Pelodiscus sinensis: one gene and its partner. The protein of the gene in region 1 purifies or fractionates together with the protein of each later gene. This does not show direct contact. Links are inferred from orthologs where the notes say so. Each region holds a gene or a part of one and is shown in the gene's direction. Other genes may lie near its edges. The genes, in order: BOD1L1 and SETD1A.

Evidence for each region.
Region 2: the proteins of BOD1L1 (region 1) and SETD1A purify together in Homo sapiens (affinity purification with mass spectrometry; 3 studies listed by BioGRID and IntAct, with this or other methods). This does not show direct contact. The link is inferred for Pelodiscus sinensis from reciprocal best matches to the Homo sapiens genes BOD1L1 and SETD1A.

What each region holds. Positions count from the first base shown.
Region 1 is NC_134715.1:108,496,820-108,504,424, forward strand, and holds the start of BOD1L1 (biorientation of chromosomes in cell division protein 1-like 1), read left to right. Parts: upstream 1-4,576; 5' UTR 4,577-5,071; coding exon 5,072-5,272; intron 5,273-5,880; coding exon 5,881-6,005; intron 6,006-7,605. UniProt on the Homo sapiens protein: Component of the fork protection machinery required to protect stalled/damaged replication forks from uncontrolled DNA2-dependent resection.
Region 2 is NC_134714.1:134,014,323-134,021,870, reverse strand, and holds the start of SETD1A (histone-lysine N-methyltransferase SETD1A), read left to right. Parts: upstream 1-4,501; 5' UTR 4,502-4,522; intron 4,523-4,741; exon of another isoform or gene 4,742-4,890; intron 4,891-5,965; exon of another isoform or gene 5,966-5,987; intron 5,988-6,312; exon of another isoform or gene 6,313-6,464; intron 6,465-7,433; 5' UTR 7,434-7,548. UniProt on the Homo sapiens protein: Histone methyltransferase that catalyzes methyl group transfer from S-adenosyl-L-methionine to the epsilon-amino group of 'Lys-4' of histone H3 (H3K4) via a non-processive mechanism.

The sequences.
Region 1 (7,605 bases):
CTGTTGGCCTCCCGCTGTGTGGACGGCGCAAAAATGCAATTTAAGATATGAAATTAACCTATCTGGAGTTAAGTATCAGAGGGGTAGCCGTGTTAGTCTGGATCTTCAAAAGTGACAAGGAGGCCTCAGCTTCTACCCACCTTCCTTGCTAAGGACTGGCCACTGGACAGGTGATTGCCTATCAGCTTTGATGACATCTGGGTAGGGGCACTAGCTTGTCCTTTGTCTTTCAGAAACTGATTTACCCAAGCTTGTCTGGTAAATACATTTCAGATCTAATTGGGCTTATGTTCATAACTTTACGTGCAATGTTGCTATGCATATTTCACCATGATAATATTTTCCAGCAAGTTTTTAGTTTTCAAATGCTACATCATAAGGCATGTTTATACTAGTATTATTACAATGGTGTGTAAGGTGTGAATATAAGGATACATTCAATCACAATTCTATACAATTAAGCCACAGGAATATTGTATGTAAAACCCTGAATTCAGTTACTGTATTGTTATTTCTTTATGTCTCTTTCCATTTCAGAGCAGACCATACAGTTTCTATAGTAAACAAAGATTTAATGTATACAAAAACCACAAAATGGCATACAGCATTGTAAGCAGTATCTGAAATATTGATGAAGACACTTTAAACAAAAGCTGTTAGGTAGGACAGTGACCTTTGTTTCTTATCCAGACTTTCCTTCCACTGTCACTTTTACACACCAAGTTCTCAAAAAATAATTTGTACTTCTCTGCTGTGGCTGAGTGAATATACTTCTGATCTTATTCCAGAAACATTTTAAAGCCTTTTCGTCACTGCTAAAACAGAAGGGCTTTGTCTTCCCTGCGCATTTAGTTCAGAATAGCTCGTGCACCGTAATTACCCCATGTTATAAAAGCAAAACAAAAACTCACCTTTTGTAGCACTGTGGGAAAGGCCTAAGGACTAGATTTAAAAAAGGAGTGAAACATTCCAACGATCAGTGTCACAATCCCTAGCTTTTAGGCATCAAGTAAGGGGACGCCGTTATTTTAAAATAATTTTACTAGCGTGTACACAGCCAAACTGCTATTTCAAAATTAATTTGAAATAGTGGAGCACTTATTTAGAATTTGGTAAACCTCATTCCACGAGGAATAACACCAAATTCTAAATAGCTATTTCGAAATAAGTGCTGTGTAGAAACTTATATCGAAATATGGGGCCTCTGGCCTTCCCAAGGTGCCTTGGTGGCCACTCTAGCCTCAACCAAGAACACTCCTCCCCTGGAGCCCTTAAAAGGGTTGACTCTGGCCACAGTGCCTGTGCCAGCTCCAAGCCTGCCAGCCCAGAACCAGCAGTCACTGCTCCTGACGCAGTAGTCCCAAAACATGAGCCCGCAAGCCACTGGCAACCAGCCCTCCACCGCTCCTCAGGAGCAGTCTGCCAGTTCCCAGGAGCCTGCCAGGGCACGGAGAAGGCGGGCGCATTCCTGATCCAGGGTGGAGATCATGGACCTTATTCAGGTTTGGGGGGATGCTCCCAACGTCCATGATCTCCGCACTAGATGGAGGAACGCGGCCGTCTATGGCAAGATAGCTGCCAGCCTGGCCACCAAACGCCACATGCAAACCCAGGAGCAGGTTTGCATGAAAATCAAGTTGGTCCGGTGAGACCCCCAACCCTGAGTCCTGAGCTACCCCTCCCCCTTCTTCCCCTTGCTTCCCCCTTCCAGATTCCTCCTCCCCTCTCGTGCCTCCTTTCCCCAGTCTCACCAGAGTTTCATTCCCCCACCTCCCACCCCCAGTTTTTTAAATAAAGAGAGTTTGTGTTCATGAAAATACATGTATTTTATTTGACATCAGGAAGGGGGGTTAGGGAGGGTTAAGTGGAAGGATGTGAGGGAGGAATGAGGCACAAGCCACCAGTGGGGCAGACCAGGGAGGCTCTTAGTGGCTCCTCAGGGTGGAAGCTCTCTCACATGGCCTCCTGAATGCTGACAGCCCCCCGATGGACCTCCTGGATGACAGCCTGCAGAAAGTGCAGCCAGGCTCACAGCAATGCATCCAAGAGAAGCACCAGAGTGCCCAGGGGGAGCTCTGGCTCCATGGCGCCGAGTGCTGTAGTGTCCCAAGTGAGGGCAACCAGAGCACGCAGAGACAAAATGCTTTGCTGTCCCTCATTGAGGCTGGCAAGCAAGCAGGGAAAGCTGAGAACCAGCTCCCCAGACCGGGGGTGGGGGGGAGGGCTTTAAGCACAGGTCTCGGATAGCCTCAGGAAGCAGCCACACAAAGTAACTCCTGACCTGATGTCCTGCTGGACCTCGTTCCGGTCGGCTTTAAATGCGATTCAGTGTGCACTCAGTGTGGATGTGCTATTTCAAAATAGCAAGACACTATTGTGAAATGCATTTTGTGAGTAGACGCGTTATTTTGAAATAACTTATTTCGAATTAACTATTTCGAAATAAGATATTTCCAAATAATGCTGTAGTGAAGACATACCCTAAGTCACAGGAATACCACTGTGATTCTCAAATCCCGAGTTAGGTGCCTAAGAATGGATGGCAGGAAGGGGTGGCTATGCCTCCCTAAACAGCCAGGTGTGGCCACACCTGCACTAAGCCCCACAGCATCCACTTTGGGTGTGCTGCTGGGCTCCAGTGGCTAGGGGCATGCTGCCCACCCTTTTGGGGTGGGGGACTGTATTTTCTCACACTTCATTTGCATAATCTCTTCCGATGCTTTTTGCGCAAGACATTTTTGTGGAAAAACTAGATGTGTATATGGATCCATTTTGCACAAAACCTTTTGCACAAGATCCTTATGCCTCAGAAAAGGATATCTTGCGCAAAAGGGGGTTTTGTACAAAACGGATCCGTCTACACAGCTAATTTTTGCGCAAAAACCTCTTGCGCAAAAAGCATTGGAAGAGATTATGCAAATGAAGTGCAAGAAAATGCTAATGAGCGCTTCATTTGCATTGCTTCTTCTGCAAAAAAAAAAAAACCCTAGTGTAGACATACCCTTAAGGCTGGAATAGTTAAGCTAATGGAAGAGCTTTCTCCTTCCATCCGCCCTACAGCAATTACATTAAAGAGTTTACAGGGGGGCAGTTCATTGCTACAGTTCCCAATGCTGTAAACTGTCTGTTGTACCCGTAGTCTGAGACACAAATCTTTCTTTTGGCAAAGGAGTAGTATGAGCCACACAATCAGCACCAGAGCTGTGAAGCAATGAATAATAATGATTCATTTAATATCTCAGTGATTAGTATCATCTCCGTCCTCAATACTAAGGAAACATGAGTTTTTACCCTGGGGTAATTACCATGCATTAGCTATTCTACTGTAAAAACATGGTAGAGACAAGACACTTTAGTTTCACCAGAAGACAAACTATGTGAGGTCAGCACCATGCCCTCCCTCCCGTGCAATCAATGCAAAGGAGAAACAGGATACCGTAATTCGTTTAAAAAAAGCAGTAAACTTGTCAAAATGAAGAACAACACTAACATGTATTATACTGAAATATTAAACATATACAAAATACTATGAAATTAAAATATGCATAAACAAGTTAGTAGAAATATCAAAATTTATGTATGCAACAAATTAAGTAATAAACAGTAAAGTATGCACTTCGATGTTTGCAGGATGGCAAATTACTTACAGAAATAAATGTTTAATGTTTTCATTTACAAAGGGAAGGGATAAAAGTCACATCTTACTTACTGGAAGTTCAAAAAAGCACTCAATATTAAAGAAATGTACTATTGTTTTACATATATGGATGCTTTGAAAGAGCTAACAGAAAAAGTATGAAGCTAGTACATCTGAAAGGCTCGACAAAAAAGAAAATTTAAGACTCTAAAATGTATTTATTTATTTTAACGTTATGACTTTGGGATGCATATCTCATGATTTTTGAATACCTCTATTATATCTATATTTAGAAACAATACAATAGAAATTTATTTTTTAGGATAGTCCCACTGCGCCAGATTTTTAAAAGTATTTAGCCGACTAGTAGGATTTTCAGAAGCATCATGACACTTTTAGCCTTTAAAAATCTGGCATGCAGTGATTTTTTGGGAACCAAATTTGACACACAAATAGTAATGGGATAAAAACAGGGTGCTGGATAAGAAAGCAAAACAATTGACCAACACGATCTTCATTGATTTATTAAAAGAAACTGCAATGTGACATCAACCCAGGAAATCAGCAGGTGTTGATAAGAATAAAGGTCCCAAAGAATAAAATGGTGTTTGACAAAAACTACTGGCACGATACGGACAGTGCTACCCCAGAAACACTGAGACGGGATGGCTGAAGCCTACTAGCAGCTATGAATATTTTTAAACTGATTAACTGCACCTAAAGTATGATCTGAAGGGCACAATGACATTCGTGTGCCTAGAGTGGACGACGAGCCGCCTGGCGCAGCACAGGGCCTGGGAGGCGGGAGCCAAGACGGACTGTCCTGCAGGGGAGAAGGGGGCAGCCCCTCAGCCTCATCCCCAGCGCCCAACCCCCGCCTGACTGTGCCCCTCAGCCCTGCCTCGGCTGCCTCCAGGCGCCCGGCCAGCCTGCACCATCCCGTCGGGCACTGCCCAGATCCTGCCCCCCTCGCTCCCCAGGGCTCCTGCGCGAGCAGCAATTGCCAAGCCAGGGCAGCGGCTTCAGCAGCTCTTACTGAGCACGCGCACGTCACAGGCGCATGCTCAGAACCGGCGCACAGCCCCGCCCCTTTCTCGTTCTCAAGCTCAGCCGGCTGGTAGAGGCGCTGCCGCCGCGCGCAGCAATGGGGCTGCGCCCGGGGAGCTGGGAAGGAGGGGCCGGAGCCGGAGCCGGAGGGCTCGGCTCAGATGTTCCCGCCCCGGGAGCGGGGTGAACAGCCAGTAGCAACGCCCATTCCTCTGTGCGAATCAGCCCTGCCCCTCTCCGCTCGTTGTCTCTCGCTTCCTCCCTCCGTTCCCTTTCACTTCCGGGGTCAGCGTTGCCGCGGTTGCTGCTCAGTAACCAGCCCCCTGCCCGGGGCCCGGCTAGAGGAGCCGGTTGCCGCCCGCGCTCTCTGAAGACCCCGCTGCCCCCATGGCCAGTAACCCGCAGCCCCAGCCCCCTCCGCCGCCGCCCCCTCCGCCGCCCCCACAGCAGCAGCCGCCGCTGCCTGGGGCTGCCGGCGGGGGCGGCGCGGTGGAGCCCGAGCTGGTGTCCGTGATCGTTAATCACCTGAAGAGCCAGGGGCTGTTCGACCAGTTCCGCCGCGACTGCCTGGCCGACGTGGACACCAAGGTATGGGCGGGGGCAGGTCTGAGGAGGGGGCGAGCGCCACGGGGGCCCGGAGCTCGGGGGAGGGGAGGAGGGCTGTCTGCCGAGACGCGCAGCCGCTCCTGCCTGGTGAGCGTTGCCCGGGGTGGAGGCAGGGCTGCCCTGGACACGGAGCCGGCGGGTCCTCGCAGCCTTGCAGAGACTCCTGGCTGGCTCTAGCGTCCTGGGAATGTCGTTCCCCGGGGATACGTCGCAGCAGCAGCTCAGCGCGTTGCCCCTCGCACTAGACCGCTGGCAGGGTCCTTAGCAGCAGGTTCCTGCCTAAGGAATGAGCTCTCAGGGATCAGTGAGTGACTTCAGCAAGATCGGGCCGTCTGTGTAAAAGGGACTGGTCGCTCCCGTTTATGTAGGTTATACTGTATAAACTTTTTCCCAAGAGGGTAATAGAATTCTTTTCGGTAAATAGGTTTTGGTATATGGGCATTGCCTATCAGAGGATGGCAATCCTGATATTTTTATTGATTCGGCAGTTAAGATCTAGGGAGCTTTTTAAAGTTTTTCAGCCCTCTCATTAGGAAAATGAGTTTTAAGCAGCTTTTTTAAATATCTGATCTCACCTTTTGCCCCTTTAGCCTGCTTATCAAAACCTGAGACAACGCGTTGACAACTTTGTTTCCAATCATCTGGCAACTCATACTTGGAGTCCTCATCTCAACAAGAATCAGTTGAGAAATAATATTAGGCAGCAGGTTCTCAAGTAAGTCATAAGTTGAGTTAATATTCTGCCGTTTAAATAGATACTCGTGCTCTAGTGATAGGTGAATGGAAACCTAGTGTTAGTCTGAATCTGCGTAAATAACAAGAAGTCCTGTGGCACCTTATAGACTAACTGATATATTGGAGCATAAGTTTCTGAGGGCAAAGACCCACCTTGTCAGATGCACCTGATGAAGTGGGTCTTTGCCCACGAAAGCTTAGCTAGACAAAGAAATTCCACAACTTCTATGAAGAGAGAATGTTACCTTTGTTACCATTGTATCCGGATATAAATGCTCGTCACTCTTGTGATATGTTGTAATACAGTGTTGAATGTTTCCTGTTTTGCATCACAACTTTGAAGGAGTCTCGCTTTGTTGGAATATTGGGTCTGCAGTCTTTGCATACAAGGATTCTGGCACTACCACTAACTCATAAGTGGTTTATTCAACAAATTACTAGTTGTTGTTCGGTTTTCTGGGTTAAATCTTGTGTTATTAATAGGATTGTAGATATGAAAATTCATGTATGTTGCAAGCACAAGTTAGTTATTCAGAGTCATATTCACAAAACAGAAATCCTTGAACAGACTTGATTTCTATGGACAGCTAAAAAGTTTTGTAAAGACTGCTGGTAAATGGTCATCTTGAAATATCTTTGAATAAGCATTTATGGTGAATCTAATTTGTGCCATAAACACATTTACATTAATATCCTCTGCCTAGTGTTGCACATTACCCTAATATGAGAAGCCGCCTAATGTTACTCCAAACTAATTTGTATAGATAAAGGTTGCCATCCTGTCAATTTTAGGGACAGATCTGAAACTTGGGAGCAAATGCCACCTGTTGCATGGTTAGTGATAGGTATCAACACTTGAGTATAGAGGAAATACAATTATTTTGTAGTTAAGACTTGATAACACCATAAATGGAGAAATGGTCTCAAGTGAAATGTAGCCATAGGCAACTCATTCTGTTTTCTAGAGCGTGATGGACAAAAGGTAGGCTATTAGGTAGCTAACTGGTTCAATGCTGAAGCTATTACATAAAGTAAATTAAGAATCTGAACTCCACTGTTTAGTAGTTGCAACATGATGCCATTCTGAGAAATTCTAACATTGGGGTTATGAAGACAATAGATATAGTGCTGTCACATTTCTTGCTACCTGTTCTGCATAGAATGCTTTCCTCAAACTGATTCATAAAGATAACTACAAAGGGGATCTGCAAGTTTATGCTGAAAGAGAATAAAAACAAATCCATTTGCTGCAGGCTTTTTGTCAGGCATGAAATGTTTATTCAGATGTGTGTTAATGGGACATTTTGAGCACTATCTAGATCCACGGTATCCAACAATCTAGCTACTAGCCACATGTGGCTATTTGGCCGTTTGAGTGTGGCTAGTTCACTATAGCAGTAGCCATTACAGTGGCAACTGCTTCAGAACTGGTTGGACACCATGGACCTAGACACAAGTCAGGTAGGAGTGTTCCTGAAGCAAATGCAAACAATTACTTTCTAGGAACTTAGAAAGTTTATGGAAAGTTGTCTGTGTGGAGGGAAAACACTTTTTAGATAAACCAGATCTGTTTGTGGAAA
Region 2 (7,548 bases), on another chromosome or scaffold:
AGTCAGGATGGAGAAAATGAAGTAAGACTCCTGCGTGTGAAACCTTAGCTGGGGCCCGGAACATGGGCCCCTCCCCTTGTAGGGGCCCCCAGCTCCCTTCTGGCTGTAGGGAGTGAGGAACGGGCATGGGGCCTCCCCTCACCCGCCCATCCCGCGGAGCGCCGGCTCCTGGCCTGCCCTCTGGCTGGGAACTAGCTGGCTCAGGGACAGAGGTAACCCCAAAAGGCAGAGAAGTTTGTAGGCAGAGTTTGAAGTTAGGTCTGAAATAGCGGGGTAACCGCTGCCCTCTGGTGGGGAATTGAGTTAATTACACCAGGTGAGCAAAGAGGTGACCTACACCAAGCAAAATAGAATCAGCGTTGCTCAGTGACTCCTACTTCATCTCTTCTTTATGGTCGCTCCTTGTTTCCTGCCGGCCTGGACGGAGAGCGGGATCCCTGGTGTACGGCAGAGACGATCCCTCTCCCAGACCGCTCGTGTCCTACGCAGACAAAGACAGGATCATTCTTCCTGCTTCAGAAGAGGAAACCGAGGCCCAGAGAGATTCAGCGATTGGCCCAAAGTCCCAGAGGGAGGCTGTGGCTAAGCTGGGCATAGAAACCAACTATCCTAATTCTGTGCCCTGTCTTAACCATATGAACAACACCCCAATGTGTTTGTGCCACGTTTTTTCTTCTTTACTTTGCGTACACAAGCCCCTAGTGTATTTTGTAATTCATGTCATTTTAGCCTTGGAATAAACCATCCTTTGCCTGCCTCTTAGGAGTCCCCTGAGATGTGAATCAGGCCTGTCCCAGCCTTCAGTTGAAACCATGTTGGATATTTCACATAATGAACTTTAACACCTGCCGACTACTGGGGAGAAGAGTTAAATAGGGAGGTTAGTAAGGGACTAAGACCATGAAGTGGCCTTTATAGGTACACGTGGGTCAGTGGCTGGGGGTGAGGGGTTAGGAAGGTTGCTCTTGTTAATTCTTCATCTATGCTCCACACGCTTTTATGTGACAATGAGACTCATCCATCTCCCACTGCAAGCATCTACTTGAATCTGCTGGAGAGAGGAGACATCTGCAGATGTGATCTGCATATTGTCCCCACAGAACCAGTGCCTCCCCCGCAGTGTTAATGTCCCCCATGCAATGTTAATGTGCTTGTTGGTGGTAGATCTTGGGTACAATGGGTGTAATACCCCATCCTCTCAATAAAGATGGTGTTGCCAGCACACAGTGCCCGAGGGGGGCAACAGCTGGGTTCAGTGCCCGGTGTGCGTGCTCCAATAAACACACCGGTGTGGAGAAGCAAAAAAAGTTTATTTGAACGCTCAAATAGGTGCCAGGAGACTAGACATCTCAGATCAAGCACACCAACGGAAGCAGTTTCCCCTCCTTATACTCCCAGGTTGTTTACTTGCAGGAAAATAGTGAATTGTAGCAAGGTTCCCACGCTGGGACATGTTGCTTCTCCTCCCCTCTACAGAGACACATCTGAATTCTTCTTCTGTACCACTGATAGTAACTAGGCAACCTCAAGGTCTGTCTGTCTTGCTGTTCCCAGCTATTAGCGAGCCAAAGAAAAGTTATGCCTGGGGCGGGAAGGGGCGGAAGGTGGGGGAAGAGGGGTGCTTGGGCCTAGAGCGGGGGGGCTTCATCGATCCTTGTGATCTTCCACTCCCCCGAGTTACCTAGGATCATGCCCAGTGACCCCAACAATGGGCAGGACCCAAACTGTGGCTTGCTGGTTTTCAGGGCTAGTGGGCGTCAAGAAAGACTTGGGGGCACCTTGTATCTGCTTGCACTCAACTCTGTGTTGACTCCTTGGGGGCATCTAGACTGGCAAGATTTTGCGCAAAAACTTGCCAGCTGTCTACACTGGCCGCTTGAATTTGTGCAAGAACACTGACTTTGTAATGTACAAAATCAGTGCTTCTTGCCCAAATACTTTCACGCTCCCACTCGGGAAAAAGCCCTCTTGCGCAAGAATACTTGCTCGAGAGGGCCAGTGTAAACAGGGAAGAACCGTTTTGCGCAAAAAAGCCCCGATGGCTAAAATGGTGATCGGGGCTTTCTTGCGCAAAATCACGTCTAGACTGGCCAAAGCATCCGTGCCAATCTAGACACGCTTTTGCGGTAATACTTTTAACGGAAAAACTTTTCTGTTAAAAGTATTTCCACAAAATCATGCCAGTCTAGACACAGCCCTTCTGTCTGTGAAGTGAAATCAATAGATTCAACACTTGTGAAAGCTATCAAAAAATAGGTCACAGGATGCAAATTGGTCCCAGATGGCACTATATATACCCAAGGGCTGTGTCTACACTGGCATGAATTTCCGGAAATGCTTAAAACGGAATACTATTCTGTTTTAAGCATTTCCGGAAAAGGAGCGTCTACATTGGCAGGCTGCTTTTCCGGAAAAGCCCTTTTTCTGGAAAAGCGTCTGTGGCCAATGTAGACGCGCTTTTCCAGAAAAGAACCCCGAGCGTCATTTTCGCGATCGGGGCTTTTTTCCGGAAAAGACTACTGGGCTGTCTACACTGGCCCTTTTCCGGAACAGTGTTCCGGAATAAGGACTTATACCCGAGCGGGAGCAGAATAGTTTTTCTGGAATAGCGGCTGATTTTGTACAGTAGAGCGTCGTTGCTTTTCCGGAAATTCAAGGGCCAGTGTAGACAGCTCGCAGCTTATTCCGGAAAAGCGGCTGATTTTCCGGAATAAGTGGCCCAGTGTAGACACAGCCTTCAGGAGGTTGTAATTGGGCCTATGGAATGGCAGTAGCAGATTCGACATACACATCCCTCTCTTCTGTCAAGTAAATGAAAAAAAAACAGGCTTGATGAATTAGCATTTAATTTGGCTTTTCATGAGATTTTGGATATATCCCACCACATCTGGATGGTTTATTACTTCCCTAGATATATTTCCATTTATTGACATTTCCACAATGAAAGTGCAGAAGATGAGTCACTCGCTTTTTATTGCCTTCCTTATGAAAAAAGTCAGGTGATTATTTCGTAGATTCCACACAATTTGCACGTGGCCTTAAAAATTGGTGAAGTAATGATTGATTTTCTGCTCTCTGATGTTATTTAACTTAGATAATGATTTTTTTCTAACCTCTGACGAAAGTGCTTGCTGGGGATAAGACAGCAGTTTTTTCTTTATCCCCCATATCTACTTGGCTCTAGCATATTCGCCATAACACTTAAAATAAACTAATTACATTATGTTAATGAAAGGGCTGATTTCTCTCCTACTCGTGACTCTCTAAAGGGAGGAAGTTATTTTAATGTATTGTCATTTATTACACCTTATGGCAAAAGTGCGGTAGGTAAACCAATCTCCTAGGATTCCCCTTAGACACTGAAACTAGTTTTCGACAAAGCAGATTCAATGCAGTAAATGGGAATTACTTCCTTTAAGTAATATATACAGTCATGGGTTCATTTGTCTCCCACTGATTCTTCCGTTGCATTGTAGGTCGTTATTATATAATTGACTTTCTTCTAGTTCATGGTGAAAGTGCAAGGTATGAATAATTGACACCCTTTTCTCGTTCTCCAATAGCTATGGTATTACCTGGGATTTCGCAAGAGCAGATTCAATACTTGAACCTTTCCATCTACACAGATAATAGGCTAGTTTTTTTTGAGGACAGGGTCATTAGTCAGCTTACTGGCTATTTTATTTACCCACTCATAACGAAAGTGATGGGTGCACATATACACTATTACATTTAACCCTTAAGTCCTAGATAAAATTTCAGCAAAGTAGATATAATCTCTCAGCCATCTATTTCCGCACTATAAAACAACAGACTATAGAGTTGGTCTCACGATTCTTCTTGGCTTTGCTACAGTTGTGAAATACATTATTAAAATATATTGAAATGTAGCCCCACCCCTGGCGAAAGTGCCGGACTCGAATAAAAGTTTATTCCCTTTCTAGCAGCAAGCTACACATTCACCAAAGTAGATTCCATTCCTGCCTCTCTCATTCTCCGCTCCATAAAAGTCGTATGAGCCGGTGAGGGCAGCTCAGGAGTCACCTGTCTCCTGTTGGCTTTTCTATAGCGCTGTACTGAAGTATTGAGAGGGACTGGAATGCAATGCATGCCCGTGGCGAAAGTGCTGCAGGCGAATAACACTCCCTCCCTTAGCTGCCATTTCGCCAAATCCGATTCGTTCCTCGGACATCTAATCCCCCCCCCTCGTTACGATCCATCGCTGTCTTCCTTTCAGCGTCACGCAGTATTGCTGTTAATTATTTAAATGTATTTAAATGCATGCCGTCGCATGGCGAAAGTGCCGAGGTTGTGCCTTGCCCCTAGGAACTAGCTGCGAGTTCAGAAGAGCAGATTCGCTCCCGCCATCTCCAAGTGGGCCCTTCAAAAATAGCCGGGCGCGTGAGGATGAGTCACGCTCCCCCCAGTGGCTCTGCGCGCCGCGGCGAGGGGCGAGGGAAGCAGGTTTCCCCCGAGGCCAGTTTGTGGCGAAAGTGCGCGGCTGGCTCTCCCTGCGGCGCAGGTAGCTGGGGTTTGGGCTCGGCGGATTCGTCACACGACCCCCGCGCTTGGAGGGACGAGAGAGAAGAAATGGCTGCGCCGCGGGGGGAGGGCGCGGGGGGGAGGAGGGCGGCGGCGGCGCGGTCCCGCCTGCCGCGGAGGGAAATCGGTATTATCTCCCGCGTCGAAACTGCGGTCGCGAACGCACAGAGCCGGCGAAGGCGGGGGTGGAGCGGGCCAGCCGGCGGGAAGTCTCGCGCGAGCCGGCGGGACGTCGGCCGTTGGCCCCGCCCCCTCTCCCTGTCTGCGGCGGCGGCAGTAGCGGGCCCCCCCTGGTCGCCGAGCGAAGAGGCCGCGCGCGCGGGGGGGGGAGGGGCCGGGAGCAGGGAGGTGAGAGCGGCGGCGGCGCGCGCGGGGAAGGGGGCGCGAGGCGGAGGGGGCGGGGCCGCGGGTGAGGGGCAGCGGCGCGCGCGGGGACGGTTACGAGGGGGGCGGGGGAGGATGCTGGGGGGGCCCTGGGGGGTGGGGGGCTCAGATCTCTGGGGGGGGCCCTGGGGGTAGGGGGTGGGGGGCTGAGGTCCCTGGGGGGGGCCTGGGAGTAGGGGGGTGGGGGGCTGAGGTCTCTGGGGGGGCCCTGGGGGTGGGGGGTGGGGGGCTGAGGTCTCTGGGGGGGCCCTGGGGGTGGGGGGTGGGGGGCTGAGGTCTCTGGGGGGGCCCTGGGGGTAGGGGGTGGGGGGCTGAGGTCTCTGGGGGGGCCCTGGGAGTAGGGGGGGTGGGGGGCTCAGATCTCTGGGGGGGCCCTGGGGGTAGGGGGCTGAGGTCTCTGGGGGGGCCCTGGGAGTAGGGGGGTGGGGGGCTGAGGTCTCTGGGGGGGGCCTGGGGGTAGGGGGGGGCTCAGATCTCTGGGGGGGCCCTGGGGGTAGGGGGCTGAGGTCTCTGGGGGGGGGCCCTGGGAGTAGGGGGCTGAGGTCTCTGGGGGGGCCCTGGGAGTAGGGGGGTGGGGGGCTCAGATCTCTGGGGGGGGCCCTGGGGGCGGGGGGGTGGGGGGCTGAGGTCCCTGGGGGTAGGGAGGTGGGGGGCTGAGGTCTCTGGGGGGGCTCTAAGGGTGGTGGGCTGAGGTCTCGGGGGGGCCCTGGGAGTACGGAGGTGGGGGGCTGAGGTCTGGGGGGGGGCCCTGGGGGTAGGGGAGGTTCAGAAGAGGGGCTCTGCAGGTGGGGGGCTGAGGTCACGGGGGGCTCTGGGAGTGGGGAGACTGAGGTCTTGGTGGGGTTCTGGGCATGGAGGGGGCTCTGTGGGTGGGGGGGCTGAGGTCTCTGAGGGGGCTCTGGTTATGTGGGGGCTCAGCATAGGGGCTCTGGGAGTGAGCTCTGGGGGGCTGAGGTCTCGGGGGGCTCTGGTTATGGGGGGGCTCAGAAGAGGGGCTCTACGGGTGTGGGGCTGAGGTCTCTGAGAGGACTGGATATCTTCTAGAGAGCGCAGGCTCTGAGGTGGGAGCAGGGGAGTTGGGGGAAAGGCCCCCGGGGGGAGGTTCTGAGGGGAGGGTTTCAGAAGTGTGGGGAGGAGCTGAGGCCTTGAAGTGGGGTATAGGGACCTGAGGGGATGGGGAGTTGGGAGTCTGCGATGGGGAATGTGTAGGAGGTGAAGTGGGTGAGGGTCCAGAGAGGGGTCCTGAGTGGTGAAGATCTGAGGGAGCTGAGGAGAGTATTGGCAGGGGGTGGGGTGCTGAAGCCCACAATGGGGGTTGTTGGGAGAGGACCAGAGAGGTGTGTGGGGGACACTAAGATGGGAGAATTGGGATGGGGGGCATAAGATTTGGATGGAGGGCATCAAGGGGCCTGGGGTGCTGAGTTGGGGAAGGGCTTGCACCAGCAGAAGGAAGCTTTTCGGTGCTCAGGGTGGGACAGCGTCACCAAAGACATGGGATGTGGTGTCCTGTAGGGAGAGCTGCAGGCCCTAGTGAGGTGGTAGGTGTGGGGGGCTTGGAGTCACAGCTCCTGAGATCTGCCCTGGTTCTGGGAGGTGAATGGGGTGTGGTCCGTTAAACCTGGGGCTTGGGAGCCAGGACTTGTGGGTTCTTTTTCCGACTCTGCCACTGATCAGCTACATAGCTTTGCCTTTTTGCTGTTCTAGGCCTCCATTTCCTTGCATCTGAAGTGGGGATGATAATGGAGCTGGCTAGGTTAGATTTTTGGGTTAAAGGGGCCATAGGAGAGTGAACTGTCTCATCAAAGGGCCCCCCAGGTGGGTGGGGAAGGCAGCTCGAGGAGGTCTTTGGGGGGTTCTGAGGGGAGGGGTTCAGAAGTGTGGGGAGGAGCTATTATAAACATCCTTTGGCTGTACCAGGGCCCATATTGCTCTGCATTCCAGCTTCCAGTCTTAGATCATAACTCCCTTCTGTCAGGGAATGGCTGCTTTCCAAAATTCAGAGCAGCACCCGAGCTTTCTCTTGGAGGCTTGTTCTAGGGTTTCGTGCTGCAGCCCATCACCCTAGTATCTGCGCACCTCTGAACAGCTCCTTTGCTCTCTGCTACCTTGTCTTATTTCTGAACCTTCCCATCTCAATATTTGTCTTAGGAGGCTTAGAATAGGTCTCCGGTGCCAGATTGTGAAATAATTAGTAATTTGAGTTTACTTTGTCTTTTGAGTCCTTAATTTTTTAATTTATTTTTGCTGGTAGACAAGTTGGTTGGAAACTCTAATATCATACAGGAGCTAGGGATCCCTGTCTCCCATCCCTTCCTGCTCTAATCCACTATACCCCACTCCCCTTCCAGACCTGGGGATAGGACCCAACATGTTTGTCCTCTTACAGGGTAGGGTACCACCCTTTGTATGTTCTGGATGCATTCTGTGTAATACACACCATAACCCCCTCCCCTTTAACCCTTTATTCCTGTGACACTTAACCCCTATTTTCTTTGCTTGCTTCCCAGTTCTTTGAGGTCCCACTCTGCGTTATGGACTAAGCATCTGCTCTGTTGCGTCAAAAAGAAGCATACTGCATTTACAGATACACGTCGTCTTTTATCGCTGTCAAGAGTGCAAAAC